Rattus norvegicus: one gene and its partner. The protein of the gene in region 1 binds, or shares a complex with, the protein of each later gene. Links are inferred from orthologs where the notes say so. Each region holds a gene or a part of one and is shown in the gene's direction. Other genes may lie near its edges. The genes, in order: Tubgcp3 and Tubg2.

Region 1 (16,104 bases):
GGGGCTGGTCCCATGCGGGACCCATGGAGTGACTGTCGATGGGCGGACTTTAGAATGGTTTTCTATTTCAGAGATAAGTACAAGCGAGAATAAAGCAAAGTTGATACAATTGCTCTTGTAATATTTTTACCTAAACAGGGAGTTTTGAAGAATAAATGGTCAATCCTCTACCTCTTGCTGAACCTCAGTGAGGATCCTCGGAAGCAAGCCAGCAAGGTGGGTGCGGGAGGGCGGAGTCCTGTGGCATGCCATACCATGTTTTCTTTTCTTCTTTATTATCGATTATTCTATTTATTTACATTTCAAGTGTTATCCCCCTTCCTGGTTTCCCCTCTGCAACCCCCTATTGCATCCCCCTCTCCCCATGAGGGTGTCCCCCAGTCACCCACTCCCATCTTACTGCCCTAGCATCCTCTACACTGCGGCATCAACCAAGAGCCTCCCCTCCCAGGGATGCCAGACAGCGCCATCCTCTGCTACATCTGCGGCTGGAGCCATGGGTTTCCCGTGTGTACTCTTTGATTTGTGGTTTAGTCCCTGGGAGCTCTGGGAGTCTATAGGAAGGAAAATAGCGGGAGCAAAGTAAGAGGCCCACCAACCCTAGAAGCCACGTCATTTCTTCTTTTCCAGTGGCAGCTTCCAGAAGATGTGTTTCAAAATTGTTTTTTTGATGCAGCAGTGTCGTTGAGCAGCCCGAGTGGTCAGAGAATTGACACTTACGTTAGGACCATCAGCCTGGAAGGTCTGCAGCTCTTGAGCTGGGAGAGCCTGTCCCTGTCTTACCAGCAGGCTTCCTGCTGTGAATGCCCTGCCAGATTTACCTGAGCCTCGGGCTCCTCCCGGCTGTGGGGTCCAGCACAGCAGATGTTTGACTGGCAAGATCCTGAGGAGTACGGATGGAGGATTCGCTCCAACCTCCTCATTGTGTAGCTGGGGTGTACTTATAAACTTGTTTGTGCTTTATGGTGATGTTTAGAGAATGTCTGATATTTTCACTTACGAATTTCAGGAGCATTTTCATTGACTTGTTTGAATAAGTGTGAAATTCAAATCCAGTTGCAGAGATAGCATGGGACAGGCATGTGAAGTCCTGTGGGTTGGGCGAGCGCACCTGCAGTCTCTGACCTATGTGCTTACAGTGCGCTTCATTCCAGGTAACTAGCTATGCCTCCTTATTTGCACAAGCCTTACCGAGAGACGCTCACTCGACGCCTTACTACTGTGCCAGGCCTCAGACCCTCCCCTTGAACTACCAGGACCGCAGCACACAGAGCTCTGGCAGCTTGGGCAGCAGCGGCATCAGCAGTATCGGCATGTGTGGCCTTAGCGGCCCCACACCTGTGCAGCCTTTCCTCCCCGGGTAACTCGAGCATTCGGGCGCACGTATACACAGACAGAAATACACACACACACACACACACACACACACACACACACACACACGCACGCACACACACACACACACACACACGAATGCATGCACACACGCACACACAAACCAGCCAGGGTGTGGGTGTGGCTCTCAGTGTTTTAGGTCTGTTCCCAGGCTTTTAGCAAGCTGTTCTTGTTGAACTCAAGTCTTAAGTAGCAGGTGAGTCCTCTGTAGGCTGAGGTTCTCAGACTCTCAGTTGGTGCTGTGAGCAAAAAGGATGCAGCCATCGATGTGCAGCTAAGCGGGGCAGGGTGAGCTTCATGCCATTGGCACTCCTGGTGATCACAGTGTGACAGGACTGAGCTGGTGATTTCCAGAGGAGCGTTGACCAGAGAATCAGCGTCAAAGGCTTGGTGCTCTCCACGTGAGCACAGTGGAATCACATGTTACTTTGAGTCCTAAACTTGCACGATGGTATTGAGGGTAGACTGTGTGTACCACACACAGATTGCTCTGTGACAAGCCTGTCACCTTGATCAACAGCAGTTACAGCTGACCCAAGGACCATGTTTGGCTGAGAGCGTCTCATCTGTGACCTTGGACTTTAGAATGCCTTTTGATGTTGTGAAAAGTTGTAAAGACAATTCTGAGCAGAATTAGGCTTTCATTTTCATTTATACTTTTTTTCAGATGCACAGTATTACTGAATGCTGCTGCCAAGCCTGTGCCCACCGAGTGTAGTGTAGGACAGGCCTGGTAGTTGTCATAGGGAGGGTCCCCAGTACACGGGCCCCCTGTGTGCAGGCCCCTAGGAGAGCAGGTGCCCTGAATGCCTGTGATTGTTTCAGTCCTGAAAAGCAGGAGTTTTGTTACAGTTGTCACTAAACATAAACATCATGCTCCTAGATTTTCACAGAGCGACTGTATTTTCTGGGTTCCTTTTGCCTTTCATTTTATGTATTTGTATATTTTTTCAAATGGGTTAAACTGCAGGGTCACTTTTCATAGTATACACACAGGGTGGGGTGGGGGCTAGTGACCACAGATGGGACAGGGCCCAGGTGTTAAGACCTCTCAGCTCGGGAAATGTCGAATGAATGAAAGGCCATGATCTTGTAGTTAAACTAGGGTTTCAAACTTTCTCTGTGTAGGCGTGGTGTGTGCTGTGTGTTTGTAGAGAATTCGAGTGGAGAAGTATGGATGTCGGACGAGATGCCCAGTTAGGAGTAGGTCTGAAAACCGGGTCAGTGCAGGGGACTGGAACCAACTGTTATGGGGACATGTGGTTCTGGAGAGCCCTGTATCAGATCTATAAAGTAACATAGTATAATAACATAGGCGAATCCCTGGAACGTTTCTATCTCTCGTGGGTAGTCTGCTTAGCTGAAGCCACAAATGTCTCTTTCTTACTCTCTAGACAGTCTCATCAAGCTCCAGGAGTGGGTGACGGCCTTCGGCAGCAGCTGGGGCCTCGTCTAGCATGGACTCTGACTGGAAATCAGCCTTCACAGACCCCTACCTCCAAGGCTTTCCCAAATGCTCTTTCTCGAAACCTGACAAGGTCAAGGAGAGAAGGGGATCCAGGTGGTAAGATGTTTTGTTATTTAGAATTCAGCACCCCATCTGTAGTGATTCCTTAGTGTTCATGGACTGAAACCCGGGGTCCCTGTGGGCAGATGCCTTGTGAGGTCACTTTTTGTTGGTCACTGGTGTCTGCTTGGTCTATTCCCTCTCTTGTCCTTGATGCCTCCTTGACCCAGTCCCCTTCCCATCTCTATCTATCTGTCATCCCTCCTGGGAAGCCACACAGGAAGTCAGGAAGGTTGCTTGTGTCTGAGGGGGGTGGTATCCACCTCGTTTGTGGGGCGGGGATTATCACAGTGCCTGTACTGTGAAGGGAGCTCATAGGTGTTTCTGAGGTGTGAGATGAAGACCTCTGTAAGGGTTTTACCATTGCGTTAGGCTGTCAGGGAGTTGTGTCTTTCATGAGTGCCAAATGTAGCAGTGTTTGGCAGGTCACTAGTTCTGAGTCACTAGTACTGTGAAACGGGCTTTGCTTTGGTTCGTGGTCTGCTGATCCTGAGGCTGGGGTTGCTGCTTCCTCTCCTTAAGAGTAACCAAGGGGCCAGTGCCCTTTGTAGCTCAAGGTATATGAAAGCCTTTGCCCGTGCAGCTGTCCTCATGCAGAACCTTCTCAGCCACATTATCCTGCAGTGTGTAAGGGTGTGCACTCAGGTGTGTGGAATAAACCAGTGGCCTGTCCTTAGCCCTCAGACCTGTGCTTCCCATATAGCCAGAGTGGACTACATGAAATGGGCAGGCGGGCGGGAGGTGGGGTGAGTAGGAACAACAGCAATTTGGCTGCTTTAACCTAGGTGTACTTGTTAAAGGCACAAATACTTCTCTTCAATGACAGTTTTAAAAAATAATTCCAGAGTTGTACCTGCTGCGTACAAGAGATATATTTTGAGTAGAGAGTTGCAAACAGGTTAAAAGTAAATGGGTGGATGGTATATGCTTGTGAAACTACCCACAGAGGGGCAGAGCCTCTGTAGAAGAGACTTGAAGCATCGAGGTGTAGGTGGGCCTTTAGAACAGGGACGGTCTCCTCTTGAAGGAGCTTTAGTAGGGGAAAGAAAGCAGAGGAGTCCATGTGAGCTGCTTCTCAGTAGCTGAGCCCCAGTGGGGATGGACAGGGATGCCATGTGAGATGGGAAGGGCGCCGTTAACCCGATGGAGGGTTAACAGCCCTCTCCACAGCGTGAGGATGTGTCCCAGCTGTTCTCTCTGCCATGGCTCTGAGTGCTGACTCCTCATGACCATCTCGGGCTCCCTCAGGTTCTGGGTGCTGTGCCTCTTTGCCCTCATTTTTGGCTAACACTCTAAGTTTATTGTGATATTTGTTCAGAAGAAGTGGGGAGGCCGATGTCTTCTCTGAACTCTGAACTCCATTTGTAGTGGCGTTAGGAGGATCCTGTCCTGCTGTCACCATGTAGTAAGCTGGTATTACAAGCTCCCTATCTTACACTCCTTCTGGTTCATTTATGTTGTTACCTGTCTGATGGTCACAGGAAGAGGCCTTCTGGGGTCCCTGTAGGAGCACCGCCCCTCAGAAAGCCCTCACCTTTCCGAAATGTGACCTTTCTTTTGTTTCTTGAGCCCACTTCCCGAGTTGGTCTATGTGATCTGGGAGCAGATGTGTAAGAGGTGCTAATCAGTCGTGCCGCTCGCCAGGAGTGCTCCTTACTTTCTTTGCAATCATTCTGCAGGCACATCGGAAGTAACTGAAGCAGCTCTTGTGAGAGACATTCTCTACGTATTCCAGGGCATTGACGGCAAAAACATCAAAATGAGCAGCACTGAAAACTGTTACAAAGTGGAAGCGAAGGTAAGCGACAGGCCCCGCTGTAGCGTCCAGAGATAGCGTCCACACAGTCTTCCCAGTGCTGTGCCTGGGGCTGGGCAGATTTGGCAGTAAACAAGTTTCGCAGCCCGGTTTGACTTCTTTTGTGACCGTTTGTGGCTGAGGTCACAGTCCCTCTGTGGCAGTGCTTCCCTGATGCAGTCTTCCCACATCCCTGCTCACGAGAGTCTGCCCGCTCTCAGCTCTTCTCAGCAGGACAGAGGTCATCACGTCCCCCAGTCTCTGAGGACTATCAGGGTTCCTGATGGGCATCCCAGAGTGGTCCTGCAGGAGCCACACAGCGGGAGCCTGGAGCCTCTCCTCGGCCTCCCTGTTCCTGTGCTCTCTTCAGCTTGTGGTGTGCTGGTGACTTAACCACCTTTTGTGCTCGTGTTTAACGTGAGGATATTAGGACAAGTGGCAGGGCTGACGATGAGTCTACCGCTATCTTTGAGTTTTGACTTTATCTGTGCTTACTTTTCAGGCAAATCTAAGTAAGTCCTTGCGGGACACGGCGGTCCGGCTTGCTGAATTGGGGTGGCTACATAATAAAATCAGGAAGTATGCTGACCAGAGGAGTCTGGACCGCTCGTTTGGACTTGTAGGGCAGGTATGTTCATCCTCGTTAGGTAGGTGCTTCATCTAAGTAAGGTCCAAGTATGAGACACCGTCAGGGCTCTTCTTGAGGAAAGTGTCAGTCCTGAGCCACCGGGAGTGTGCAGGAACTGTGAGGGGATGGCAGAGGGAGGTCCCTCAAGGCCAGAGGGAAGAGCTTGAGAGGGGGAGGGACTTTGAAGTGGAAGAGCTTGGGCCTGCCCTGTAGAAATCACTGCCATTTCTAATGCCACGGATGTGGGAAGTGGGGACTTACAGGTGTCACTGCCAGGGTGTCCACGGTGGGCACTGAGGGACCTACTGCAGTGTCACTTGAAGCAGGCACCTTTGTCTCTTGACTGCTGGATCTTGAGGGAGCAGCAGAATAAAATGTGAGTGTGGAGTACTTCCAGAGCCCCAGCCTCTTGGACAGGTTTAGTGGTCCATGCCTTTGGTCTCAGTTGGATTCTTAGGTAGGAATTGCTGCTGGTGTTACTGACAGAAATTTACTGAGAGGCTCTCAGAGACAGCACAGAGAGATGCTGCAGTGGGGCTGGTGGTCAGGAGCATGGGAGGGCTGCATGGCTTGTGGTCAGGAATAGGACTTTGAAGTTTCAAGTTTGACAGCACAGATTTGTCACCCTACACAGATTCTGTTCATTCACCATAGTTTCTTTCTATAACTGAAGGTGAGGAGAGACTGCGTAGTTAGCCCCTGGCCTTGAGCCTAGCAGTTTCCTCTTGGTTCTGCCTAGGAAATTGGCCTGCTGGCCATTGCTCCTCTCCTCCTCTGAGGGCTGATATTAGAAGCAGGCCTGCCTGGGGCCAGCGCCTGTAGCACAGAGGCAGAGTCCATTCTTTGCTTCACTCGTAGTCCTGTCTAGGAGAATGTATGACATTGTATGACAGTCTCACTCCTTTCTGGTCGTGTGGAAGATGTGGTGTGTCTTGCCTGTGACACCCACGTCCACGTTTGGCTGTTGTGAATAGTGCAGCCAGGATGGACAGTGCCGCTGTCCCCTCAGCACACTGACTGTCTGCAGGGCCCATGGCGTGTTGCCACTTGAAGTTGTGCTGGGTACTTACCTGCGGAGCCTCTTAGTAGCTGACCCAGGGCTCACCCCAACAAGCAGTGTGCTGGCTCCCCTTCCTCCCTGTCCGCCTGATGATTCCGGCTCTTACTGGAGTCTTTCACATTTTGATTTGCATTTCCCAGATGATTAGTGATTTGGACATTTTTTTCATATGCTTATTGGCTTTGCCTTTTGAGAAATGTCCAGTTCTATTCTTTTGAAACTCAGACAGTGTGGCTCTCTCCACCCTTTTATACAGCCTGGGTATTGACAAGTTGTCAGATGTGTATCTTAGATACTTTACCACTGTAGTAGCATCATAAGCGTCTCACAGCACAGGTAGGGTGATGTGACTCCTGTACTGAATGAAGCCTTTTCTGTCTGTTGTTCTGCTGCTGCTGCTGTCAAGGAGTTATGGCCGTCCGTGTTAGCCTGCTTGACTGCTCTTGTTGGGGATCCATCTTCCTGCTGGACTGTCTTCTTTGTGCCTGTCTTGGTCATTTCTATGCACATTCTCCCTGAGGCCTCAGCAGAGCCCTTCTCAGACTCAACATGGGACGGGTTGTGCAGAGGGACACTGGCTCCTAGGACAGACAGTTTTCAGCTCTGCTCCTCCTCTGGCAAGCCCAGGCGGCCCAACTGGCTCCCTCTGGCTGTGGGAGAGGAATGTGCTGAGAGAACCCTGCTGTGTGGCATTTTGATGTGGACCAACTAGTAATTTCAGCTGTGTAGTCTGCATGTTTGCATTTTCCACATCAGACTACAACGTGAACTCTTGATCATTTGATAAATTGTTTATATTTTATATAAATATGTTTGTGGTTCTGTCCTTTTGGACTCTGGGGTGGTGGTTTTGTAAAATGAGATGTTGTACCTGAACAAATTCCGCATTGCTGCCTCTGTGAACATTAGTGAAACTGCTAGTCAGTGAGGATTTCTATGTCCCATGCTAGTTATTTCTGTATATAAAACCTATCCACGTGTGTATGTGTGTGGTTGTGGGAGTGGGAGCTTTGGAAGTGTTAGCCTTCCTTGGGAGCCCAGCACTTCACTGAGGACTTTGTGGTTCCCTAGGTTGGGGCAGTTCATCTTGCAAGTCTGACCTTTGAAGTGTTGTTGTGTGTCTGCAAGGCTGGTGTGTTTTGCAAAGCTTATTTTTATAACTACAGGAGATTAAAATGTTCCTTTTGTGTTCATTTTTTAACCAGAAGGGTATTTTGTATTTTAGTTTCATTTTTAAAACTAAAAGGGCATTTCATTCTTCTGAGTGGCAAAACAGGCCCATGATTTATGAGCTGGTGCATAGCCCTAAGGTGGGGAGCCATGGAGCCCACATATTTATTTAATGGGGTAAGGCTTCAGGCCTTATGGTTGTTGATGGTAGCGTGTCTTGCAGACAGACTTTGGACTGTGTGCTCTGTTTATAGCCTTGGGTTCATGCCAGAGGACACTTTCACTGGACTGCAGGCCAGCGGGTCCTTCTTTCCCACTTCTGACAGTGTCTTTAGTTCAGGTCAGAGATGCAGAGAGCAGGCAGTGTTCAGTGCTCTGCATGGGAAAGTAAATCGTGTCAACACTGAGGCTGGCAGAAGTTCCTAATGCTTGGAAAAGCATTCAAGAAAGTTATTGTAACTGCTAAAACTTAGAAAGGACGCCATGTTAAAGGGCCGTTCTCTGAAGTGACCCACACATGTAGCTTCATGAAAATCCGACACATCTCCATTTCTCTTCTGTAAGGTTCAAGCTTCTTGTTATCAAAATAGATGCTACAGGTTCAGGATCTCAGCTGCACTGAGCTCTGTGGGAAGGCGTTGTCTCCTCTCGAAGAGCGAGGTGTGTGTGCGTGTTTTTTAACCTTGCCTGTCTTCCCTCACAGAGTTTTTGTGCTGCGTTGCACCAAGAGCTCAAAGAATACTACAGGCTCCTCTCTGTTCTGCACTCCCAGGTAAGGACTTCCCCTGTGAGTCCTTCAAGTTTCAAGAGTTAGAAAATCAATAATGTAGAGAGGATTTGTTACTTCGTACGTATACAAGAGTAATGGCTTCCATAGTATCAGATCTGTTCATTGCAGCCTAGAGCCAATTAATTGTCCATTTCCGGGCCCGTCTACCATATGTAGCCTGGGAGTGCTGTAGTTTTACAAACGACTGTGACGTTATTGTTAGGGTAGCTGAGGCCTTGTTCTCACCGTGTGTGGGTTTAGGGGTGATGGGCTGTACTCACTCACTTCTGCTTAACCTTTCCTGTTGTTTTTTAGCTCCAGCTAGAAGATGATCAGGGTGTGAATGTGGGACTGGAGAGTAGCCTCACACTGCGGCGCCTCCTGGTTTGGACATATGATCCCAAAATAAGATTAAAGACCCTTGCTGCGCTGGTAGATCACTGCCAAGGTCTCCTGAGTTCCTCTTTTCTGTGCTTCTAGACATGCTTGAGTGAAAACTTGTCTGTAGGTAGGGCCTGTGATTCTGCTCTGGCTGAGGGTACTGCAGATCATAGCTACAGGCTCACAGGGAAAGTAACCTGGGACCAGGGCAGCCTGCCATTAGCCTGAGATGACGCTGGGAAGGAGGTGTTCTGTGTGAGGCTGCTCTGTGTCTTGCAGCAGTCTTGTCTGTCCTGTTTGGTCTTCGCAGACACTGCTGTAAGACCTGCTCCTGGAATCCTGGGTGTCTGTTCATACTCCTTTACTTGCACATCGGAGCAGTCTGTATAAAACTAGGGGCCATGTAAAGCCCTCAGCTTCTGACACAAACTGATGACTGCTGTGCTTGTGTTGCCGGGACCCGGTTCTGTGGCTTCTGCACCTTCCTCAGGGGTCCTGCTGAACAGTGTCACACTAACCATTGCACTGCACTGCACTGCAGGGAGTTGGGCCTTGTGTGCCACAGCCCAAGTCTTGTCACTCCTGATCCTTACACCGTCTGCGTCTCATGGGTACTTAGATGTGAACTAAAGTGCAACATGAAGTGTGAACTCAAGTGTCTAGGCTGGGCAGCTGGTTTTACACCTGACAAACTTCTTGGCTGACTCTTCCTTGAGTATTTCTGTATAAAGCCAGATTCTGAATCTTAGTGCCCAGGCCGTGTGCATGGCCCGCTGCTGCTGTGTTGAATATAGGAAGTCCTCGCTAACTGAAGAAAGCAGGTGCATTTTATCTCTGCTACTTGGCTGTCTTTGGTTAGTGTTTATTGATTGGTTTGTGCCATGAATTCAAATGTGGCTATTTCTGTGTATTTTCCCCCATTTCCCCTAGGACGGAAGGGGGGTGAGCTGGCCTCTGCTGTTCACGCCTACACAAAGACAGGGGACCCCTACATGAAGTCCCTGGTGCAGCACATTCTGAGCTTAGTGTCTCACCCTGTCCTGAGCTTCCTCTACCGATGGATATACGACGGGGAGTTGGAGGACACTTACCATGAAGTGAGTATGGGGGCTTGGGGCTACGGGGCATGGCTACCACCTCTGCAGTGTGCCTTTCTCAGCCATTATCTCCGCTCTGAACCGCACTGTGCCCGCACTCCAGTGTCAGTGCTGGGAGTCAGCGGACTGATGGCACAGGGAGGGCGGCTCTTCTGGGGCCTGGCGACTCAGCCCAGGGCAGCGGTCTTCTTACATGGCTGTTTTATAAACCTGGTCCCTAGGTGCTGCTGATTGAGTAAAGCAAGCTACTGCATTCGTGTCTGTTTTCCTTTTGAAAACAGTAGTTACGTGTGAGGCAACATGTGAGTTCCTAAGATACCTGGCACAGACTGTGTGGTAAACCAGAGGACTTTGGCTGTTGGGGAACAGGGACAACACACTCAAAAGTGTTGTCCGCAGCAGTAAGAAAGGAAAGACGGAAACACGATCAGAGCTGTATCGTAAGTCCACGTATGCTAAGAGGCTGAGGCGTTCACAGACACAATGTACAGCACTCACAGCAGAAACCCTGCTGTTTGCTGCAGAAGTGGGTGTAGGAGAAGATATTTTTTAGGTGGGCGGTGGGTTGAATCCAGGCCATGTTTGCCAGACAAACGCTCCACTGACCTGTATCACCAAGCTTCTGTCTGGATTTCTGAAATGTGCGTACACAGTTGTTGATTACGTTTCTCAGACTGATGCGCTCGCTGTAGGTATACATGTGGGGTATTTTTCTGAAGATACCTGGTTGCTTGAAATACGAGTAAGACTTAACGTTTGATTTATTGTGAGCATGCATGGGTGCATGCGTGTCTTTGTATGTGGGTTGCAGATATGTGTCACTATATCCAGGGTGTTTGCTTCTGTTTTTTAATGATATTATTATTTTTTCTATTTTTTCCATATAATATATTCTGATTATGGTTTCCCCTCCCCAGCTCCTCTCAGGTCCTCCCTACCTCCTCTCCCGCCCTTTCCTCTCATTAGAATACAAATTGGCATCTAGAAAATAATAAAATATGGTAAAATAAAAACGAATATGCTGGAATAGGAGAAATAAGTGAACAAACAGAAGAAAAGGAGCCAAAGGAAGGACACGGAAACATAAAGATGCAGAGGCACAGACAGAAGTCTCACAACAGCATTGGAAACCGTAACATTTATGCAAACGACTGTGAGACCAAGAAAAAAGAGCCTTGTTTCATATTTGTAAATTGTGTGTGGGTGAGCGCGGTGTCCATGGAAGGGGGCTCTGGCTCCCTGGAGCTGGAACTCTAGGAAGTTGTGAGCCATCCACTGTGGGTGGTGGGGATCAACTCCATCCTCTGCAACTGTGACACCTGCTCTTAAGCTCGGAGCTGCCCCTCCTCACTGAGCCAGGGCTCCAGCCCTGGGCTTTATGTGTTACTCAGTGAGCGTGTTTGTCTGCTGAGTGCCAGAGTTAGTCCATCTCTGCACTCAGCAAGCATAAAATCAGTTCTCATCCCTCGGCAAGATTATATTGTTTTCAAGCTTTTCTTTTGAGTTAGTTTAAGAAAGTTCTATGAGTTCTGCAAATATCTCCTGGACCCTTTCCTGGATTAGCTAAGAGCTAGCATCTTCCTCTGTTGATCCATCAGTTTACCCACACCTCCCCACACTAAAGATTCTACAGTCAGAGACCAATGTCTAACCCGAGTTCGCACAGGGCACGGGCAAGACCAAGGTCCCTAGTCCTTTGTCTGCCAGTCCCTTTGTTTGCATATCAAACTTAAGAAAGTACAACAGGAAGGAAGGTTTAAGTTCATTTTATGAGGCCAGCGTAGCACCACACAAGACAAATGTGTGATATTCTCTTAGGTGTAGAAGCCTCTAAAAGCAGAATTTAGAATTCCACATATTGAAAACATTGTTATCAAACGGAGATTTATCCCAGTAATTCATTACATAGGTGTGGACCTTAGTCTACCATCGTGACAGGCATGATAAGAATTTAGGGGCCCAGTCTACTCTGTTGATGTTAGAGAATTGTCTATTGACGTTTAGCACAATTGGGTGGTAAAACCTTCACCAGAAAAGGTCTGGCTTTGGGACAGTCAGTTACAGTCTGACTGGTAAGAGGCTGTCCCACTTGTCTCTGGTTGAAGAACGTGACAGTGTGTATGCTGCCATCACTCCTACTCAGCACTGTGTTCACTCTGGCAAGACAGGAGTGGAGAGGGATCCAGTCCGGGAGAAAAGATAGGAAGAAATTGGCTTAGCCCGTCTTAGGTCACGTGGTCTTATCATGAGGAAACCCTAGGCGAAGTACATCGTGTGTGTGTGGAAGTACATCGGGAGGGAGGTGGTCAGACTCACGGACCATCAGACAGTGACAAAACCCCTTGTTTCTCTATGTCAGTAAATGCTGCCAACACGACATAAAGAAAACAGCTCCACCCACATCCCACACATGAGATGCTTTGGATTGAGTTTAGCCCACCAAGCCCTTTGAGTACTGTTCTGTGAGCATTTGCCTTGTCCATGACCTTTGTGATCAGGAAGCTGCTGGATTTCAACCTCGGAAGGGGACGTGAGCTCTCTTAAGAACTAAGCTGGAGCCCTGAGTGGGTGCTGGGAGAGGGAGGTTGCTGTGGGAGCCTCTGTCATCTGCCGATGTGTCTGGTTCCTAGAAACGAAGCTGCACGCTGAGGATCACCCCTCTGCTCCTGTTTTGGGGTGGGAGTGTGCCTTTGTCTAGCAGTTAATGAGAAATCAGGGTACAATGACGTTTTATTTTTTCCTGGATTCTTTCTGTGATTGACACAATGGTAGAAATTAAAGGACCTTGAGGGGCAGTGCATCACTACAGTGCAGACTTATGCAATTATATCCCGACCTTGGTCCTTCCTCTGCCACCATATATGTCTCACAGAGCTCATTATATTCTAAAGATGAGCACACCCTTTGTGCTCGCCACTGGCTGCTCGTAGAGTGATTGCACGCTCCTGTGCCCTAGATGAAGCAATGTGTTCATGACTTCCAAAGATGACTGAATTGCCTGGGAGGTTTTTAATAGTTTAAATTAAAATTTCTTATTGTTCAGACTGATGGAAACCCAGCTGCACTCAAACTATCAGGATGAATTGGTGTGCTGTCTATAAAAACTAGCTCTTGTGGTTAAGTGAATCACAGGAATATAATTTATATGCAATTAATCTAATCTGTTGAATGGGAAGCCAAAGGGCAGTGGTGGCATGGTGAAGGTCGCCAGGGAGATGTTACGGTGGGTTTAGAGCATTTCCTAGTTCAGTATGTGCTACATGATAACCTCATCCTAATGGAGCGTTTATTTCTCCAAGCTGCCTCCGTAATGTATTTTAAGCAAGAGTGTAAGTTAGATTAGTTACTTATAAACAAATAATCCCTTAGAAACAAATAATCTGGTCACAAGAGTGTCAGCATTCAAAAGCTTAGCCTGCAAACCCATGGGTGAGACCTCATCTTAAATGACAGTTATCATCTCAGAGTGGATTTCTGCAGAAGAAAACTCGTTAACTGCTCTGAGAGAATGTTGCCATCTAAAACAACAAAAACAGCAAAATGTTTATGTGGTGTCAGTTATTAAGCTTTTCTGGTTTACACAGTTGTGCAACTTAAATGTCTTGCTGGTGTAAGCACTTCTAGCAGAAGTTAGCCTGGGAGTGTGCTGTGTTTTCTCAGTTTCACATGGACTGTGCACCATGTCCTACCTCATTTTTTCTTGGAAGTAAATGATGAGTGTCACTTTCTGACACTCAGCTATTCTTCATCCAGTTCTTATAAAGTTCCTTTGAAATCCTGACTAGCTGTTAGTATGCCCTGTATTTATAAATGTAAATTTGCATCTTGTTTTTCCTGGAAGGATTAGTACTCTTCTTTGAGTCCTTGGAAGGCTGTGACAAAGTCAGAGGCTGTGTTAGTGCTCACATGGTCGTTACGGGTCATTGGCATGCTCGCTTGTTCTTGGCATTTCCCCAGCAACTCTGGCTTTATTATCAACTGTGTTGTTGTTTAAGTACAAAACCCAAGATAAACCACTGTTGGAGTTAATTAATCTAGTAGTTTCTCACTTACAGGTTGTTTATTTATTTACTTACTTATTTTTGAGACAAAAATCTTGCTATGTAGTCCTGGCTGGCCTAGAACTTGCAAAGATATGTCTGCCACCCAATTGCTGGGATTAAAGCATGTACTACCCCGGATTGCTTTTGACATTTAGTAGCATGTTAGAGTGTAATGTATTTCAATCAAAAAGCTTTCCTAATGAAAGGGTAATATTTTTTGAAGGTAAATAGCGATAGATATAATACAGGACAAAATAGAGTGGTAAGAGTACACTGAATGCTGTTTCTGTAATCTGGAAAGTGGGATGAGAATAGGAAGCTTACACTTCTAACAGCAGCAACCAGACCAGGTCAGGGCCCGGGGGAACCACCAAAGGGCATTGGCACTGTGGCCGTCTGCTGTCTCATTTAGCTAAGGGTATAGAATACAGGGGCCCTGCTGGTGGGCGTGCTAGCACACAAGTGTGTGCTGTCAGATACATAGAAATTGGACATAACTCACTCGTCAGTTCTGCTTCTGGAGAGTGGGTTGGTAGGGATCAGGGCAGTGGTACTAAGCCTCGTAGCTCACCTGAAAGTGGTCTCTTTGTACTGTAGATAAGGGGGGCAGTGGCCGCGGGATCTTCTTCCTGTGACTTGGATGAGGGAGAAGGTGTGTTTCTCATAGGTAGTGCCGGGAGAGGCTCATAAGAAAGTCTCTTTAGCGCCCTTTGGCTGCTTGGTTGCTGGTGGCCTTGGCATGGGAGCTCTTGTGTTGTGGACTCTTGTCTTGTGTTGTCGTTTGTGGACACTGTGTCAGCTGCTGCTCCAGCCTGTGGCACTGCACTCTGAGGTGGAGGTGGTCATGAGCGCACAAATGAGGGCCACTGGTCTTGAGTGCTGAGAAAGTGCTGGAGCTTCGTGCGGATGCCACGGCAGCAGAACCCTCGGGACACGGGTCCTGGAGGCTGCCAGGGAGAGGCTTCACTGCCCTCACTCTGGATCTAACTCCTGAGTCCTCACGGAGAAGTGCAACTTGCTTTTGTTGTGGTTTGGTTTAAATTATCTGGAACACAGCCTAGCTTTCCATCCAGAGTGCTTTGTTAAATAAGTTTATTGTGTAAGCGAGTGGACTCTTTGTGTCTGAAGAACTTACTTATAGAGTAACTATATTAATGTCCTTGTTACTATAGTATTTTCACAAGTATTTCTTCATTCTAATTTTTGGTTTTTTGAAACAGAGTTTCTCTGTTTGGCCCTGGCTGACCTGGAACTATCATGTAGACCAGGCTGGTCTTGAACTCAAGAGTCCACCTGCCTCTGCCTCCCAAGTGCTGGGATTAAAGGTGTGCACCACCACGTCTTTTCAGAGCTATTTCTAACGCCCAGTGTTCTTTTACTCTTAGTTTTTTGTGGCGTCAGATCCAACAGTTAAAACCGACCGTCTGTGGCATGACAAGTACACCCTGAGGAAATCAATGATCCCTTCCTTTATTACGATGGACCAGTCTAGGAAGGTAGGTGGGGCAGGACACCCCCATTCAATGTTGACCGCCATTGCTCAGTGCTTGGACTAGGTGGGTGGCAGCTGAGCGTCACTTAAGGAAGTTTGGTTGTGTTCTGCTGGTGGCCCATGGTGATGTGTGTTTGTTGGTGTGCTGTTTGAGCTCCTAGAACTTACCTGGTGGAGATCCAGTGCTTATGTCCTGTGTTTTAAAATCCGTAGCTAATGTGCAATGTGGGAATATTCGATGTGTTTGGATCACTAACTTGTGTAAAGATGAATCATAGCTTATTTTTCTTTTTAGGTCCTTTTGATAGGAAAGTCAATAAATTTCTTGCACCAAGTTTGTCATGATCAGACACCTACTACAAAAATGATAGCTGTGACCAAGTCGGCAGAGTCACCTCGTGACGGTATGGCAGCTGTAGTGGTGATGACGGTGGTGGTGACGGTAGTGGTGATTGTGGTGGTGGTGGTAGGGATGGGGTGGGGGTGGTAGGGATGGGGTGGGGGTGGTCATGTGGTTATGATGGTGTGAGAGGGTGATATGGACAGTGGTAGGAACCCTAGTGGTGACCATGATAATGTTGCTTAAAGCTCTTTCCTGCGTAGCATCTGTATACCTGGACCACTAAAATACGTTCATACAGAGTGTATGTGAACACGTGTGAAATACCTATTACTGTGTGGTTACTCAAATTTTTTAACATGGAGTT
Region 2 (16,204 bases), on another chromosome or scaffold:
TTCTTCCACAAGACCAGAAGCAGATTGGTTCATTATCAAGACACACCAGCTTAAAGCAGAGTCCCTGACAGAGTGCAGGTACGTAATAAAAGAGTCAGCAAATGGACCATGAACAGGATTGCTTTCGGTCTTATTTTCTCTTTCCTCTTTCTTGAGTAAATAAAACAGCACAGAAAAAGTCTGCTTCACAAAGTATGAATTTGCCCCAACTCCCTTCACACAGAGAGCTTTGCTTTTGTTTTCGTTGTCCGTGCTTTAATTTTCAAAGATTTTATTACATCTGTGTGGGGTCGGGGGAGGACTGGGAGGTTTGTGAAAGTCAGGACAACTTTTTTTAAAAAAGGTTTATTTATTTTATGTATGAGTACACTGTAGCTGTCTTCAGACACACCAGAAGAGGGCATCAGATCCCATTACAGATGGTTGTGAGCCACCATGTGGTTGCTGGGAATTGAACTCAGGACCTCTGGAAGAGTGGTCAGTGCTTTTAACCACTAAGTCATCTCTCCAGCCCTGCCCCCCTTTTTAAATATATTTTATTTTTATATTTTATATTATATTTATATTTTATTTTATATTTTATTTATTTAATGTCTGGGTGCTCTGCTGCATATACATACACCTGTCTGAAGAGACCATCAGATTCCCCTGTAGATGGTTGTGGTTGCTGGGAATTGAACCAGGGTCCTCTAGGACGAGCAGTCAGTGCTCTTAACCACTGAGCCATCTCACCAGCCCGTCAGAGGACAACTGAGAAGGTTGATTCTCTCCATCCACCATGTGGGTTCAGGGGATGGAACCTGGATTCTCAGGCTCGGTGACAAGTGCCTTTACCCAGTGGCAGAACCTGTGAGAGCTGAATTTCCTGGGGTAACAGATTCTGGCCTGAGGAGGTGGGGGGTAGCTTTATGTAGCAGCCGTGCCCGCTGCTCTTCTTCCAGGCACTGGGAAATAGCCTCACGTCCCAACCTCACCCCTCCACCTCTCTTTACCTCCACAAGACCCCTAAGCTACTAACACAGTAAATCGAAGCCAGGCAGAATGAAGGCACAGCCAGGGATGATGGCTGCTGCATCTCTGTGAGTTCGAGACCAGCCTGGTCTAGAGACTATGACGAGCGTGTTCCCGGCCAGTCAGGGCTACACAGTGGGAGCCTGATCTCAAAAAAGCAGAGAAAGGAAAAAAAAAAATGAAAATGAGAGTTGGGGATTTAGCTCAGTGGTAGAGCGCTTGCCTAGCAAACGCAAGGCCCTGGGTTGGGTCCCCAGCTCCAAAAAATAGAAAAAAGAAAAAAAAATGAAAATGAAGGAGTACCCGAACCCATGTTTCCTCAATATTGGGATGTCCCCAGTTAAAGGTCCATATGTTTGTCACTTGTTAGTTTACAGATGCAATAGGTAATTTGAACGGCAGGCTGAGGCCTTGGACAAAGGTACCTCATCCTGAATAATTACCATAACCAGGATCGGAAAACCTCGAGTCAAGGGTTCTCGACACCAGCAATGGGCAAACAGCCTTTAGATCTTGGGTGAGACCAACCCCTCGGCCTATGCTCTCTGCTTGTCAGTAGAATTCAAATGGAAACCCAGTCTGTACAATCGGAAACACCCGAGTTCGGGTGTTTTGTTATTAGTTACTTAACTATTTGTGTTCTTCGTTCCCTGAATAAGATGGATGGTTCATCTGTAGCAACACCCAAGCTTGCTGCATCTCTGATTACATCCAGCCATGATAAAAACAGCTAATGTTCCTTGAGGGTTTGCTAGGCACTGGGTGTGTTAAGTGCCCGTTCTCCAGTCTCACCGAACCACTACTAATGATCAGTTCTCAACAGAAATAGATGGAAGGGTTCACCCTCAGCTGCGCCAACACACAGATTTCCCAGTTTCCCACTCATCTCCACAGGACTAAGAGGAGAGGACACCTCTGCCGTGTCAGGGTATGATCTGCACATTCTAACCTTGCTTGCCTATAAACAGGGATTTGGAGACAAGTCTCCCCGCTTCTGGCACAGTAGAAGGCGCAATAAGGAAGGCACTGTGATTAATCCAAGAAAGGGCGAAATTCAACTCTTACTCCCCAAGCTTTCACAAACTGCTTACAGCTTATTTGAAAGGCAGTAAACTGAGCCTCACCAGGCTCACCCAGTGGGGAGGCGAGTTCACACCCATTTGCCCGGGCTTCTGGGTAGGCTCTGAAAAGTGGAAGGCCTGGCCTCAGAAGATCATCCCACCCAGCAGTCTCAAACCCCCAGCTCTCCCACCCCACTCTCAAACTTCAAAGGCTGCAGCTAGGCTCTCCCTGGCACTTTCTCTTGGGGTCGCTTGCTAACTAACCTGTAAGAGGAAAAGAGTCCTGGCACCGGGAGGGGGATGCAGACAGCCGAGGCCAGGGAGGGCTGTGGGGTGATTTAAAGCCTTCTACAGAAGTCAGAAGGTTCTATGCGGAGAGCCTGGAAGGCAGCCAAGTTCTCTTTTTAAAAGAGAAAGGAAAGAAAAGAAAAACCCTTGTCTGATCATGACTTAGTAGAGGCACTTTGCCTAACAATTTTCAGTGTCTCCCTCCCAGAGAAAGGCAGCCAGACCGGGACTGCCAGACCCAAAGGAGGCCAGAAGCCTGCAGCTGGTGGCTAACAGCCCAGCCAGATTGTAGAGAGCAGCAAACAATCAGCAAGCAGGGCTTGGAATGTTCCAGAGGCTGGAGGAAGAGGCTCCGACCGAGCCCTCAATAATTGGTTCAGAGACAATTAGACATCCATATGGAAAAAATAAAATAGATCCCTATCTCACGGCAGGCCTCCAGATAAATTCCAGATGAATTGAAGACCTACAGGGAACAAGCTGAACTATCCAAGCGCGGCTGGAAGAAGGCATAGGGTAGATGCGGGGCTCCGGGACAAACATGTAAGGAACGATATAAAGGAAAAGATGGGTGCTATCCTCATGAAGAGGAAAATGGTAAGCAGGAGTTCAGGGGTGATGCCCGCTGCGCTCGCTCTGGAGCTGACTCTGGGGCTCGCTCTGGGGCTCGCTCTGGGACTGGGAGCAGGAAACAAAACTCTTTTTCTTTTTTTTTTTTTTTTTTTTTGGTTCTTTTTTTTTCCGGAGCTGGGGACCGAACCCAGGGCCTTGCGCTTCCTAGGTAAGCGCTCTACCACTGAGCTAAATCCCCAGCCCCACTCTTTTTCTTTTTTAAAATTTTATTTTCAAGACAAGGTTTCTCTGGGTAGCCCAGCTGTCCTGGGACTCTCTGTATAGACCAGGCTAGCCTGGAATTTAGAGTTTCACCTGCCTCTGCCTCCTGAGTGCTGGGATCAGAGGAGTGTGCCACTTTAAAAAAACAAACAAACAAACAAACAAAGAAACAGATAAAAAAAAAACCCTATTATTGTGTATATAAATTTCTGCAAGTGAAGGCCAGAGGACAATTGTATGTAGTGAGTTTCTCACCTACATTTGGGTTCTGGGAATTGAATTCTTGTCAGCAGGCTTATGAAGCAAGTGCTTTTCCCACTGAAACAGCCTGTCAAAATCTTTTCTAGGTGTAAAACTTAAGACACCTAGAATACACACACACACACACACACACACACACACACACACACACTAGAATACACACACACACACACTCAGTGTGTGTCTGTGTGCAAGTATGTGTGTGTGTGTGTGTGTGTGTGTGTGTGTATTAGACTTTTTTAAAAGACAATGATTTGCAGCGTGCACTTCAGCCAAGCAAGTGCTGTGATGACAAGTGTGCACCACCATACCTGGCTGAAGAATATCTTTCACTGTTTAAAAGAGACAATCCAAGGAGCAGGCAATTCAGAGAGGAAAAACCCCCAAATCATAAGAAAAGTAGAAATGCCAGGTGTTGGTGATCTTGTTACTACCAGGCTGCCTGCCTTTGCGAGATACTCAAAAAACCCATTTTCTTCCAAAAGAAAGAGGAGTCGGGGGAGGTGGGTAGGAAAGTTTAATGGAGTTCAACTGTGATAACTAGAAACAAGAAATTCCATCCAGGATCCAGGGAACTGACAACTGTTGCCATCTGATAGCCCAGGTGCAGATTTAGGTACAAGAAAAAAAAGAGAAGAGTGTAACGCGCTACAACGATCTATAATGAAATAAGAAACCCATTGAGTAACAAGTTTCCCAAAGATTAAAATTCCATCCTGGAAGAAGCTCCTAAGGAGGAAGGTAAACAATTCAAAATAACTTCAGGAAGCCCCTGAAACTGACAAGGGTCACTAGGTTGTCCTTGCCAGAGTAAGCAATAAAAGCTGAGATTGTTTATGGATAAAGAATAAATTTACTTTATTCGTCCACTGGGATACTACCAAGCTGCTGCAAAGAACGAAACCGGGCTGGAAATGCAATTCAGAGATGGGAGTATTTAACTAAGCTTATGAGCACAAAAAACAAACAGCGAAAACAAACAACAAAAGGGGCTTTAGGACAGCACAGTAGGCAAACATGCTGACCACACAAGGATGAGACATGCATTTTGGGGACCTGGAGAGATGGCTCAGTGGTTAAGAGCACTGACTGCTCTTCCAGAGGTCCTGAGTTCAATTCCCAGCACCCACATGGTGGCTCACAACCATCTGTAATGGGATCCGATGTCCTTTTCTGGTGTGTCTGAAGACAGTGACAGTTACAACATAATAAATTAATTAAAAAAAAAAAAAAGAAAGAAGTGGAAAACATACGTTTCCTCTCTGGAACCCACACTCCTAAAAGTATGACCTCCATGGGTATGTCATGATTTTTTCCTGCCTGGTGCCTACACACACAAGATATATACATATATCCTATAATAATAATGAAATAAAAATATTATGGGCCGGAGAGACAGCTCAGCAGTTAAGAGTACTTGTTGCTCTTGCTAAGGACCGGAGTTCAATTCCCAGCACCTATTTGATAGCTCACAACCATCTGTAACCCCAGTTCTGGGGGTCTGACATCCTCTTCTAACCTGTAGGCACACCAGACATACACATGGTACACACACACGTGAGGTATATGTATATGCGGGCAACACACTCATATACCTAAAATGTAATTAAATAAATAATACATAGTGGCCAGGGATGTGGCAGAGATAGGATACGCTGGCTGAATACCTGCAAGGTCTTGGGTTCCATCCTTAAGAACAAATATTTTAAAAGTGTTTAAATAAAAATAATAGTACTATGTATGCATATATGTGTATATATATATATAGCATATATATACTCTGTGTGTGTACAGGAGAGAAGGAAAGAAAAGAAAAACTAAATTTACATATATAAACATGACCAAATCACAACAATTCTAATGTACAGAGAAAAAAAGTAGGTTGCTTTTCTATGCTGTTGTACTCTGACACAATTTATATAAGATTTCAGGGTCAGAGAATTAAGGCATTAGTTAAGGGCATTTGTTGTTCCTACAAAGGATCACCCTCCCACCTGATGCTTTCTTTTGGCCTTTGAGTGCATATTCATACATGAATACAAACCACTCAAAGACAGAAAATAATAAAAATAAATCCTCTCGAAGGCTGGAAAGGTTTTGGTCTGACCTCAAAGCTGAGGTCAAACAGTCATAAGTTCAAGGGTAGCCTGGGCATTTTTGTAAGACCCTGTCTCAAAATAAAAAGTAAAAAGGAGCTGGCATGGAGATTAAGCACCCTGACCAATCTTGGAGAGGATTAGAGGTCGAATGCACACACACACACACCACACACACACACCAAAGTAGTTAAAATAGACATTTAAATTTTAATTTTAGTTTTTGGGGTTTTTTGTTTGTTTGTTTGTTTGTTTGTTTGTTTTTTCCTGAGTACTGGTGTTTGGGCTGCAGGGTCTGTGCTACAGCAGGGACCAGAAGAAAGCATCGGAACCTCTGGGACTGGAGTTGTTAGCCATGATGCACTGTTGTGTAACAATTTCCTCAGAGATTGAAACATTCTATTTCCTCAAGATTGAAACACTCTACCTCTCTAGGAAGCCCCCGAAGCAGGAAGGTTTTAAAAAAAAACAAAAAAACAAAAAACCTCAAGCTTCAGGAAGTCCCTGAAACTGACCAGAATCAATAAGCCCCTCCCTGCCAGAGTAAACAATAAAAACTGAGAGTCCCTTTCAGCCAAGGTAAAGCTAAGCCTCAAAGATTCTCAGACCAGACCAGTTTTCTGGAAGAAGAAAAACCTAGAAAGCTGCTTGAAGGAGGGTTAGACCAACTGAGTCACTTGGAAAGGACAAGGTCCAACCTGTTGAACTGCCTGTAGACTGTGCAGTGTGCTCCAAGCTCCCAGCTTTGTGGGCTATCACCATCCTGGGTGGGCTTTGGTGATGCACCATGATTCATTTCTGCCTTCACCCACATCCCTGTAAGTAACCCCAATAAAACTCACTGGTTCAGCAACTTTGACTTTGGTGTTATCTGTGTACTATGGTCTGTCCTGTGCTTCCTATCTGGGGTGAGTAGATGTGTGTGTTGGGTTTCCCCAGGAAAAGTTTTGTCACTATATACAAGTGCTGGGAACCAAACCCAGTTCTCTTAACTGCTGGGCCATCCCTGCAACCCCAATGGGTTTTGTTTTGTTTGTTTTTTAAGTAAAAAGAGAGCTGTGATTATATCTTGAGGAAGGGTATTAGCCTCATGTGAGAGCAAAATCCTAGGTTCAGTTCCTAGCACCACAAGAAGAGAATGGATCAAACACACACACACACACACACACACACACACACACACACACACACACACGTAATTCTTTACTTTTTATCTAGTTTTAAATTTTATTACTATTATTATTTTATTTATTTTTATTTGTTCATTTTCTAAGACAGGTTTTCACCATGTAGCCCTGGCTGTCCTGGAACTTGCCCTGTAGACCAGGCTGGCCTCTAACTCAAAGATCTGCCTGCATCTGCCTCCCAAGTGGTAGGACTAACGGCATGTGCCACCACTGCCTGAACTATTATTCAACTTTAAAAGGCAAAGCTGGGGCTGGAGAGATGGCTCAGCGGTTAAGAGAACTGACTGCTCTTCCAGAGGTCCTGAGTTCAATTCCCAGCAACCACATGGTGGCTCACAACCATCTGTAATGAGATCTGATGCCTTCTTCTGGTGTGTCTGAAGACAGCTACAGTGTACTTATACACATAAATAAATAAATCTTTTAAAAAAAAAGGGGGGGGTGGGGATTTAGCTCAGCGGTAGAGCGCTTGCCTAGGAAGCACAAGGCCCTGGGTTCGGTCCCCAGCTCCGGGAAAAAAAGAACCAAAAAAAAAAAAAAAAAAAAAAAAAAAGACAAAACTGTTCTGACTGTATGGATCCTTTAAGTAGGTAGAGAAGGCAAATCCCTAAGACAGAAAGGATGGTCAATGTCAAGGGTTGGAGAGGGGTGGCTACACAACTGAGAAGTTTGGAGCTTTAGTTTGGGAAGAAGTTCTGGCTGTGGTGGCCTAAGAGAAACATCAGCCGGGAGATCAAGAGATCATGCCTGTGAGCTACAGAGTGATGCTGTGGTCAGCCTGCGTCACATGAGAGATCCTGTCCCCTCCTCCAACCCCTCAAAAAAAAGAATCAAAACAAAAAGTTCTTACACTTACAAAAGGTTAAAATAGTAAACTTTGGCATGGCAGTGGTGGCGCACACCTTTAATTCCAGTGTTTGTTGGGGAGTCAGAGACAGGTGCATCTCTGTGGGTTCAAGGCCAGCCTGGTCTCAGATCGAATTCCAAGACACCCAGGGATACAGAGAAATCTTGTCCCCCAAAACCACTTGGTATCTTTTAAAAAGGTACACATTAATTAATTAAGATACAGGGGTTGGGGATTTAGCTCAGTGGTAGAGCGCTTGCCTAGGAAGCTCAAGGCCCTGGGTTCGATCCCCAACTCCGAAAAAAAAGAACAAAAAAAAAAAAAAAAAAGATACAGTGTAGCCTGAGCTGCCCTAGAACTCAATGTATAGACTAGGCTGACTTTTCTCTGGCTCTGGGTGCTGGGCTAAAAGGTATGCCTCTGCCTGGACCTACTTTTTTTTTCTTTTTTTAATTTTTTTTTTTTTTTTTTTCCGGAGCAGGGGACCGAACCCAGGGCCTTGCGCTTGCTAGGCAAGCGCTCTACCACTGAGCTAAATCCCCAACCCTTTTTTTCTTTTTTTAAAGATTTTATTTACTTATTTTATATGAGTACACTGTCGCTGTCTTCAGACACACGAAAAGAGGACATCAGATCTCATTACAGATGGTTGTGAGCCACCATGTGGTTGCTGGGATTTGAACTCAGGACCTCTGGAAGAGCAGTCAGTGCTCTTAACTGCTGAGCCATCTTTCCAGCCCAGGACCTACTTTCTAATTATATTTATTTATTCTGTGCAAGTTTGCATACTCCAAGAGCAAGCATATACAGGGGTCAAAGGACAACCCAGGAGTAGGTTCTTGATTCTCTCTTTCCATCATGGGGACCCCACAATCAAACTCAGATATTGTCAGGTTGGTCAGACAGGCCCTTATGACGCCCGCCAGCCTAAGATGGTGATTTATTTTATGACCCAGGGTCTCACTATGTAGCTCCAGTTGGCCTGAAATCCATTAAATAGATTGGATGACCTAGAACTCACAAAGATCCTCCGGGCTCTGCCTCTGCCCCGCCAAGTGCTGGGATTAAAGGCACAAGCCACCACACCAGGTCCCAGATGACAAACTCTATAGTTTTCATAGTGTAAGACTATGAAAATAGCTGAACCCTTTTAGTCCCAGCACTTGGGAGGCTAAGGCAAGCAGATCTATGTATTCGAGGCAGCCTAGTCTACAGAGTGAGTTCCAGGATCGCCAAGGCTACACGGAGAAACCCTGTCATGATACACAAAAAGATAAAATTAAAGAATACACACACACACGGGGTTGGGGATTTAGCTCAGTGGTAGAGCGCTTGCCTAGCAAGCGCAAGGCCCTGGGTTTGGTCCTCAGCTCCAAAAAAAAAAAAAAAAAAAAAAAAAAAATACACACACACACACACACACACACACACACACACACACACACAAATTTGGCTTGGGTTAGATGTGTAGCTAAGTGGTTTGGCTCTTGCCTAGCATGCTCGGGGACATGGGTTCAATTCCCCAACTTAAATATAGCCCCTCAATTTAGCAGATCCGGCAGGTGTAGGCAGGTGACTCCCACACTTGGAGCATCCACCTGGCCGCTTCTCCCTCTCCTCCCCCACATCCCTGGGGATCCTCCGCTGGCCAAGTGTTACCGTGCGCACGCGCACATAGTGACAGGAAGCGTGGCCTCACTCTGCGCCTGTGCTGAATTCCAGCTGCAACTGCTAGGAGAGAAAATGATGCCCAGGATGGGCTCTGCCGCCCGCCGGCTGCGGAGAGCCCACACTGCACACGCGCAGACACAGCGCCCGCATCAAAACAGCGGCGGACAGCGCGTTCCCCATGTCCTGCGCCTCTGGCTGGCAGGAGTTCCTCTCAGCCGTGACCCCCGCCCGGCCAGGCCAGACGAGCTCCCGTCTGATCGGAGATGCCCCGGGAGATCATCACCCTGCAGCTGGGCCAGTGCGGCAACCAGAGTGAGCAAGCAATCACTGTGCCCCGCTAGTCTCTGGTTCTATCCCTCGGGCCGCACTCAAGTGCCTGGTACCCATCAATTCCCTTTGTCCTTCCCATGGACCACCCTTCCTATTGAGCATGATGATTCAGGGAAGAGCTGCCTTCTCAGCCCTGGGCTGTGACATCTTCCAGACCCAGGCGTTTTGGGTCACCTCCTGGAGTGTAATAGGCTCTGAGCCTGGGGTTCTCAGGCCTTAAGGCTCTAGCAGACTTGGGCCTCTTTCCCCCTCCCCCAGTTGGGTTCGAATTCTGGAAACAGCTGTGTGCTGAGCATGGCATCAGCCCGGAGGGCATCGTAGAGGAGTTCGCCACCGAGGGCACTGACCGCAAGGACGTCTTTTTCTACCAGGTGCCCCTCCCCCTCCACAGAAACTTGCCAGGACCTTGGAGACCTGAAGGGACTGGCAGCCACATGGTGCTGGGAAAGTCACTGGGCAGATGGGAACAGAATGGCTGTCTTGAGGGAGGGCCTGCCGAAACCAGAGTTGGGGACTTGACTCATCCTAGCTCCCTGGGCCAATCCTGGCTTCCCTTTGACAGGCAGACGATGAGCATTACATCCCCCGGGCTGTGCTGCTGGATCTGGAGCCCCGGGTGATCCATTCCATCCTCAACTCCTCCTATGCCAAGCTCTACAACCCAGAGAACATCTACCTGTCCGAGCATGGAGGAGGGGCTGGCAACAACTGGGCCAGGGGATTCTCCCAGGTGTCAGTCCCAGACTTTCTTGGTAATCCTAGCCAGGGATAAGGCAAGGCTCAAACAAACCTGGGGATCTGTCCAGGCTAGACTTGCAATTATTAAAGAGACTAATGGATATGTTGAGAAGAGGGACTACTTGGAAGGTTATGCAAATTTTATGTAAATCCTTTCACAAAGTAGCATTTCTGGGTTGAGAAAGGTTGCAGTCGGGAAGCTCAGCTTCAGGATGGCAACAGAGACCAAGTGTGGAGTTCTTGGTGCTGAGAAAGGAGCCTTTGGCCTGACTTTCCCTTCCCCATGTCTACATATAGGGCGAGAAAATTCACGAGGACATCTTTGACATCATAGACCGAGAAGCAGATGGAAGTGACAGTCTAGAGGTGAGGGTGTTCCACAGGGAAACAGACTGGGGGAAAAGATCAGGCAGGATTTAAACACGTGATGCGGTGGAGCCATTCAACTGGGCATCCATTCGGGGACATCATATAGAACGCATTAAGGTGACTAAGCCACTGCCTTGTTCCAGGGAAATCAGAATCTCAGTGCTGTCACTTAGCCTCTCCTTGGTCTCTGAGCCTTTCCAAGGAGCCTCAGAGACAAGGCTGATGTCTCTCTTTGAGATACCTGGACACTGCCTCTTTCTCTCCCCATTCAGGGATTTGTGCTGTGTCACTCCATTGCTGGGGGGACAGGTTCCGGTCTGGGCTCCTACCTCTTAGAGCGACTGAATGACAGGTAAGCCTGCGTTTAAGAAGTCATTAGCCTTGACTCTTTGGTATGCGGGTTAATATTTTAATTACACTGTTGCTTATTTTGGGGGAGGCATACCTGTCCATGCATAGATGCATACGTGTGGAGGTCAGAGGACAGCGTGTGCCGGTTGGTTCTCTTTCACCACGTGGATCTCAGGAACCGCTGAGGTCATTAAGTTGTGGTGGCAAGCATCTCTACCTTACCCGCTGAGTCACCTTACTGTTGACTGGTTTCTTTTTTTTTTTTGGGGGGGGGGGTTCTTTTTTTCGGAGCTGGGGACCGAACCCAGGGCCTTGTGCTTCCTAGGTAAGCGCTCTACCACTGAGCTAAATCCCCAGCCCCTGGTTTCTTTTAAAACCCAGTTATGTTCTGTGAATGTTTTTGTTTTAATCCCAGGTGTGGGATGAGAGGCTGCTTCCCAGCAGGTGATTATGATTTGCCTCATGCACTGGAAGGGGCGTGATCTTTGCCAGCTGCAGATAGTTTGATTCTGGGGACTCTGGAGAGAGTATAAATGCCAGAGGCCTGAGAGGGGCAGGGGTGCTTGAAGGGAGGCTGCTACTCTCCCCCACCCCCCGCTTCTGGTTGCTGTTGTTGGTTAACAGGAAGCTGGAGATACCCTGACATGAAGATCGAACTGGCCCCAAGAAGCTCGACAGCCCTAATCAGCAGGAAGTAGTCTAAAGAGGACTATGACCGCTTCCCCCTTTAGCCTTCTTTCTCCCATATCTAGTGTTTGGGGCGTTGGAAGGGATCAGAGTGAAATAAAGGTTGGAAGGAAGGTAGAAGTAAAAAAAAAAAAATAATAAAATAACTAAAAAACAAAAAATGCGAACACCTCATTGGTCAATAAGAAGAGAGTTTTGATGAGTTACCTACCTTGAGCTGACCTGTTAACATGTCTGGAAGGGACTGGCCTGATGGTTAATTGATACAGGAAGACCTGGCCTATTGTAGGTGGCACTATTCCCTTGGTAGGTGTTCCTGCACAGCATAAAAGAGAAAGCTAGCTGCCAGCCAGCAAGCAAGGATCCATGCATTTAATTCCCTCTGCTCTTGACTGTGGACATCCTGCTTTGACTCCCCAGAAATAATGTGTTGTAACCTAAAACTGAAAGTCAAACAAGTCCTTTCTTTCCCAAGTTGCTTTTTGCTGTGTTTGTCACAGTAACAGGAACTGAAGTAGAATTCCTAGATAATCTCTTTCCACGTTGTTTCTTTACCCCCTTGAGCTGGAAGTTTTGGGGGGTTCTGTTGTGTTGTTGTTGGGTTTTTGTTTGTTCATTTGTTTGCTACTCCCTGAGTCACCGGGACAGAACCATCCAGAGAACACCTTGGAAGCAAAAACTGGGCAGGGAGATGGGATGTTCCCTTGGGACCTACAGAACGTGGCTTGTCCTCTGGGTGCCAATTTCTGAGGCGTGCTCTTGATCCTTTTGTACACGAGCTCAGTGGCACTTGGAAAGGAGATCGATGGCTGGGGAGGTCCTTCCGGTTCACAGTGCCTTCCTCTGCTTTCCCTCTTCTTTGCCCTCAGGTACCCCAAGAAATTGGTGCAGACCTACTCTGTGTTTCCCAACCAGGATGAGATGAGTGACGTGGTGGTCCAGCCCTACAACTCCCTCCTCACCCTAAAGAGGCTGACCCAGAACGCGGACTGTGTGGTGAGGAAAGGAAGAGGGAGTCAGGACTTAGCTCCCCTTCTAAGACTTGTCCGTGCCCTTCTCTGGCCCTGGCTCACACAAAACACCCAACAAAGCCATGACACTGGGCCAGATTATGAACTAAGATGCCAACTTCCAAGTTGCTTCCAGGATTTTGGGGCAGCCACAGAGTATTCCCCTGTCCCGGCATATTACCCCATTTTGCCTATTCGGTGCCTCCTTGTGCTTGAACTCAAAGGTCACTTTAATAGCAAAACCTCCCCGCCTCCATTATTCAGATTCCTTTGTGTATGTTGTGAACTAAACTTGTCTTAGGTGCACGTGGTTGTTTATGCCCGTAATTCCATTTTTGCGTAGGCTGAGGCAAGAGGATCACTATTTGTTCAAAGGATAGCCTGGGCTACATAATTAAGTTCCAAGCCAGACTGAGCTATGGACTGAGATCTAGTCTAGACTAAAAGAAAGAAATGGGGGTTGGGGATTTAGCTCAGTGATACAGTGCTTGCCTAGCAAGCGCAAGGCCCTGGGTTCGGTCCCCAGCTCCGAAAAAAAGAAAAAGAAAAAAAAAAGAAGAAATGAAGCAGGATTTTACTAAATCTGTCCTAGCTGACCTCAAACTTGTGATCCTCCTTACCTTACCTTTTTCTTAAATGTATTTATTCTATGTGAATACACTGCAGCTGTCTTCAGACACACCAGGAGAGGGCATCAGATCCCATTACAGGAGGTTGTGAGCCACCATGTGGTTGCTGGGATTTGAACTTAGGACCCCTGGAAGAGCAGTCAGTGCTCTTAACCGCTGAGCCATCTCTCTAGCTCCCCTACCTCGGCTTTTTAATTGGAAATGTGTGTACTCCCATGCCTGCTGTATTTATGGCTAAAAGAGACTAAATCTGAGCTATACCTCCAGCCTTGTTTCAATAATTGCTTTTTCCTGGACTGTAGGCCCAAGGGCGGCACATATCTGTTCTCTGTAGTCTCTCTAGAACCAAGGCATGTGGGGGACATATATGTTTATGGTCCTGTGTCATGCCATTACTCTTATGGTATCCCAGAGATAGAATATTTCTTTGAAGGTAGCAAATCTACTTCCTGGTTTGGGAATTTACAGACATTACGCATTGTCTTATTCCGAGGTCCCCTTTTGCCTCAAAAGATGTTATAGAGCCCCATATCCTGCCAGGTGGTGCTGGACAACACGGCCCTGAACCGGATCGCCACAGACCGCCTGCACATCCAGAACCCATCCTTCTCCCAGATCAACCAGCTGGTGAGCCCCCACTCCTGGAATGAGAGCCCTCTGTCTGCGAGAGAGTCATCAGAGGAGGGACGCTCCACCTCCATCAAGTCCCATGACACAGTATTTCCTGCTCCCAGGTGTCCACCATCATGTCAGCCAGCACCACCACCCTGCGCTACCCCGGATACATGAACAACGACCTCATCGGCCTCATCGCCTCACTCATTCCCACCCCTCGACTACACTTCCTCATGACTGGCTATACCCCCCTCACCACGGACCAGTCAGTAAGAGCTCCCCCAGTGTCCCAGCACTGAGGCCTTTCCCTTTTCCATACTCTCCCACACAAAGCCACTCTTTGCAGCCCTTCTCTACCCACCTCCCCAGGTTCTATACTCAGGGCCTGACACTGCCACCAGTTTGCAGCCCTGCCTCCGTGTTCTACTACCTTTGTTTGGCTCCTGCAGGAGTGCTGCCCAATGGGGTCTCCTGCTCATTGCTCAAGGGCATGGGATTGGTGAGCTGAGAGCCATGATCGATCAATTGATCGATCCTAATCCCATGGCAGAGACTCAGCACAGACCTGATCTAAAGACAGTCCCCAGAGGCCACACCTCCTGCCAGCTGATGGGGACAGAGTTGACCCTTCTCCTCTGTCCATGCCACTCTGAGTTGCTCCCTGACTGCTGCCCGGGTCCCTGTGAATCCCTGTTCCCTCAGGTGGCCAGTGTGAGGAAGACAACAGTTCTGGATGTCATGAGGAGACTGCTACAGCCCAAGAACGTGATGGTGTCCACAGGCCGGGATCGTCAGACCAACCACTGCTACATCGCCATCCTCAACATCATCCAGGGAGAGGTGGACCCCACCCAGGTAAGGAAGGCCTCTTTACCCTAGCCTGGGGACCACAGGATGGAGAAGAAGCCACCACCACCTCTCTGCCCACTTCAGGTTCACAAGAGCCTGCAGAGGATCCGGGAGAGGAAGTTGGCCAACTTTATCCCCTGGGGCCCGGCCAGCATCCAGGTGGCCCTGTCAAGGAAGTCTCCCTACCTGCCCTCAGCCCACCGGGTCAGCGGGCTCATGATGGCCAACCACACCAGTATCTCCTCGGTGAGCACAGTCTCCTGTTGTCCCTGTGTTACCGGGAGTCAAACCCAGGGCTTCGGGAATGGGAGGTAGCTCTCCCCACTCTGAGCCACACCCCAGCTCCTGGTCTTTGGCCACTCTGCTCCATTCCCTATGTCCTTAGTCCCCACCCTGTCTGTCCCTAGTTCTGTGTTCTGCCTGCATGCTGTTCTGAAGCTCTCTTTCCCTCTAGCTTTTTGAAAGTTCCTGCCAGCAGTATGACAAACTGTGGAAGCGGGGGGCCTTCCTGGAGCAGTTCCGCAAAGAGGACATCTTCAAGGACAACTTTGAGGAGATGGACAGATCCAGGGAGGTGGTGCAGGAGCTCATCGATGAGTATCACGCTGCTACCAGGCCGGACTATATCTCCTGGGGCACCCAGGAGCAGTGATTGCATTTTCTGCTGTTCCCCTGGACAAGCCCAGCCCCCACCATGCCTGGACCTTCTGACACAATGTCCCCTCACATTTCTGAGTTCATGTCCCGTCTAGGAGCTGTTCCTATCTCTTCCTTCTCATTCCTGGTTCTTCACTGACTTCTTTGGTTCTAATAAAGCAAGAAGGCTCGATGATAAATACAGCAGAGCTTGGTCTGTGACTATGGGACACCAAGTGAGCACACCTTCCATATGACAACACATGACAACAGGCTGGCCTTCACCTGCTCCAACTTACTCCTTAGGTCTTAGTGTGTTTTCACTGTTCCCCATCTTACCTCGAACCAGCCTGTTTTCCTAGGGGTCAGTCCCTCTCTTGGGATGACTGAAAGTTCCTGACCTGCTGTATCCTCAGTGCCTATGCCCCTGTTCCCAGTTGGGTGACGTTGCCTTAACCTCTTATACTCAAGAGATACAGGGTCTAGGGACAAAGGGGCCATGGTGGTCTGAGCAAGTTAGAATAGCTAGGATAGAGGAGTCCCATTGTCTAGGACCACCATCGTCTTCAGGAACATAACCGTACTGAACCAGCCTGACAGAATAAAAAATTCAAGAGTAGTCCTGCGCCCACCATACCAGAGATGTTTCTACATCTGCACGCGGCCCCAGTCACCTCTCCATTTCATTCTGAAGGCACAGGGAAATGAAACATGGACCAGATAGGGCCCAGGAA

The links.
Region 2: Tubgcp3 (region 1) and Tubg2 share a complex: the UniProt entries of both Homo sapiens proteins name them as parts of the gamma-tubulin ring complex. The link is inferred for Rattus norvegicus from reciprocal best matches to the Homo sapiens genes TUBGCP3 and TUBG2.

What each region holds. Positions count from the first base shown.
Region 1 is NC_086034.1:83,570,102-83,586,205, forward strand, and holds part of Tubgcp3 (gamma-tubulin complex component 3), read left to right. Parts: intron 1-138; coding exon 139-216; intron 217-1,154; coding exon 1,155-1,360; intron 1,361-2,789; coding exon 2,790-2,959; intron 2,960-4,641; coding exon 4,642-4,760; intron 4,761-5,259; coding exon 5,260-5,385; intron 5,386-8,318; coding exon 8,319-8,387; intron 8,388-8,699; coding exon 8,700-8,832; intron 8,833-9,695; coding exon 9,696-9,862; intron 9,863-15,290; coding exon 15,291-15,401; intron 15,402-15,692; coding exon 15,693-15,801; intron 15,802-16,104. UniProt on the Homo sapiens protein: Component of the gamma-tubulin ring complex (gTuRC) which mediates microtubule nucleation.
Region 2 is NC_086028.1:86,582,196-86,598,399, forward strand, and holds Tubg2 (tubulin gamma-2 chain), read left to right. Parts: upstream 1-9,414; 5' UTR 9,415-9,519; coding exon 9,520-9,568; intron 9,569-9,844; coding exon 9,845-9,957; intron 9,958-10,148; coding exon 10,149-10,316; coding exon of another isoform or gene 10,317-10,338; intron 10,339-10,621; coding exon 10,622-10,690; intron 10,691-10,965; coding exon 10,966-11,045; intron 11,046-12,600; coding exon 12,601-12,727; intron 12,728-13,910; coding exon 13,911-13,997; intron 13,998-14,104; coding exon 14,105-14,254; intron 14,255-14,687; coding exon 14,688-14,840; intron 14,841-14,918; coding exon 14,919-15,080; intron 15,081-15,288; coding exon 15,289-15,486; 3' UTR 15,487-15,670; downstream 15,671-16,204. UniProt on the Homo sapiens protein: Tubulin is the major constituent of microtubules, protein filaments consisting of alpha- and beta-tubulin heterodimers. Gamma-tubulin is a key component of the gamma-tubulin ring complex (gTuRC) which mediates microtubule nucleation.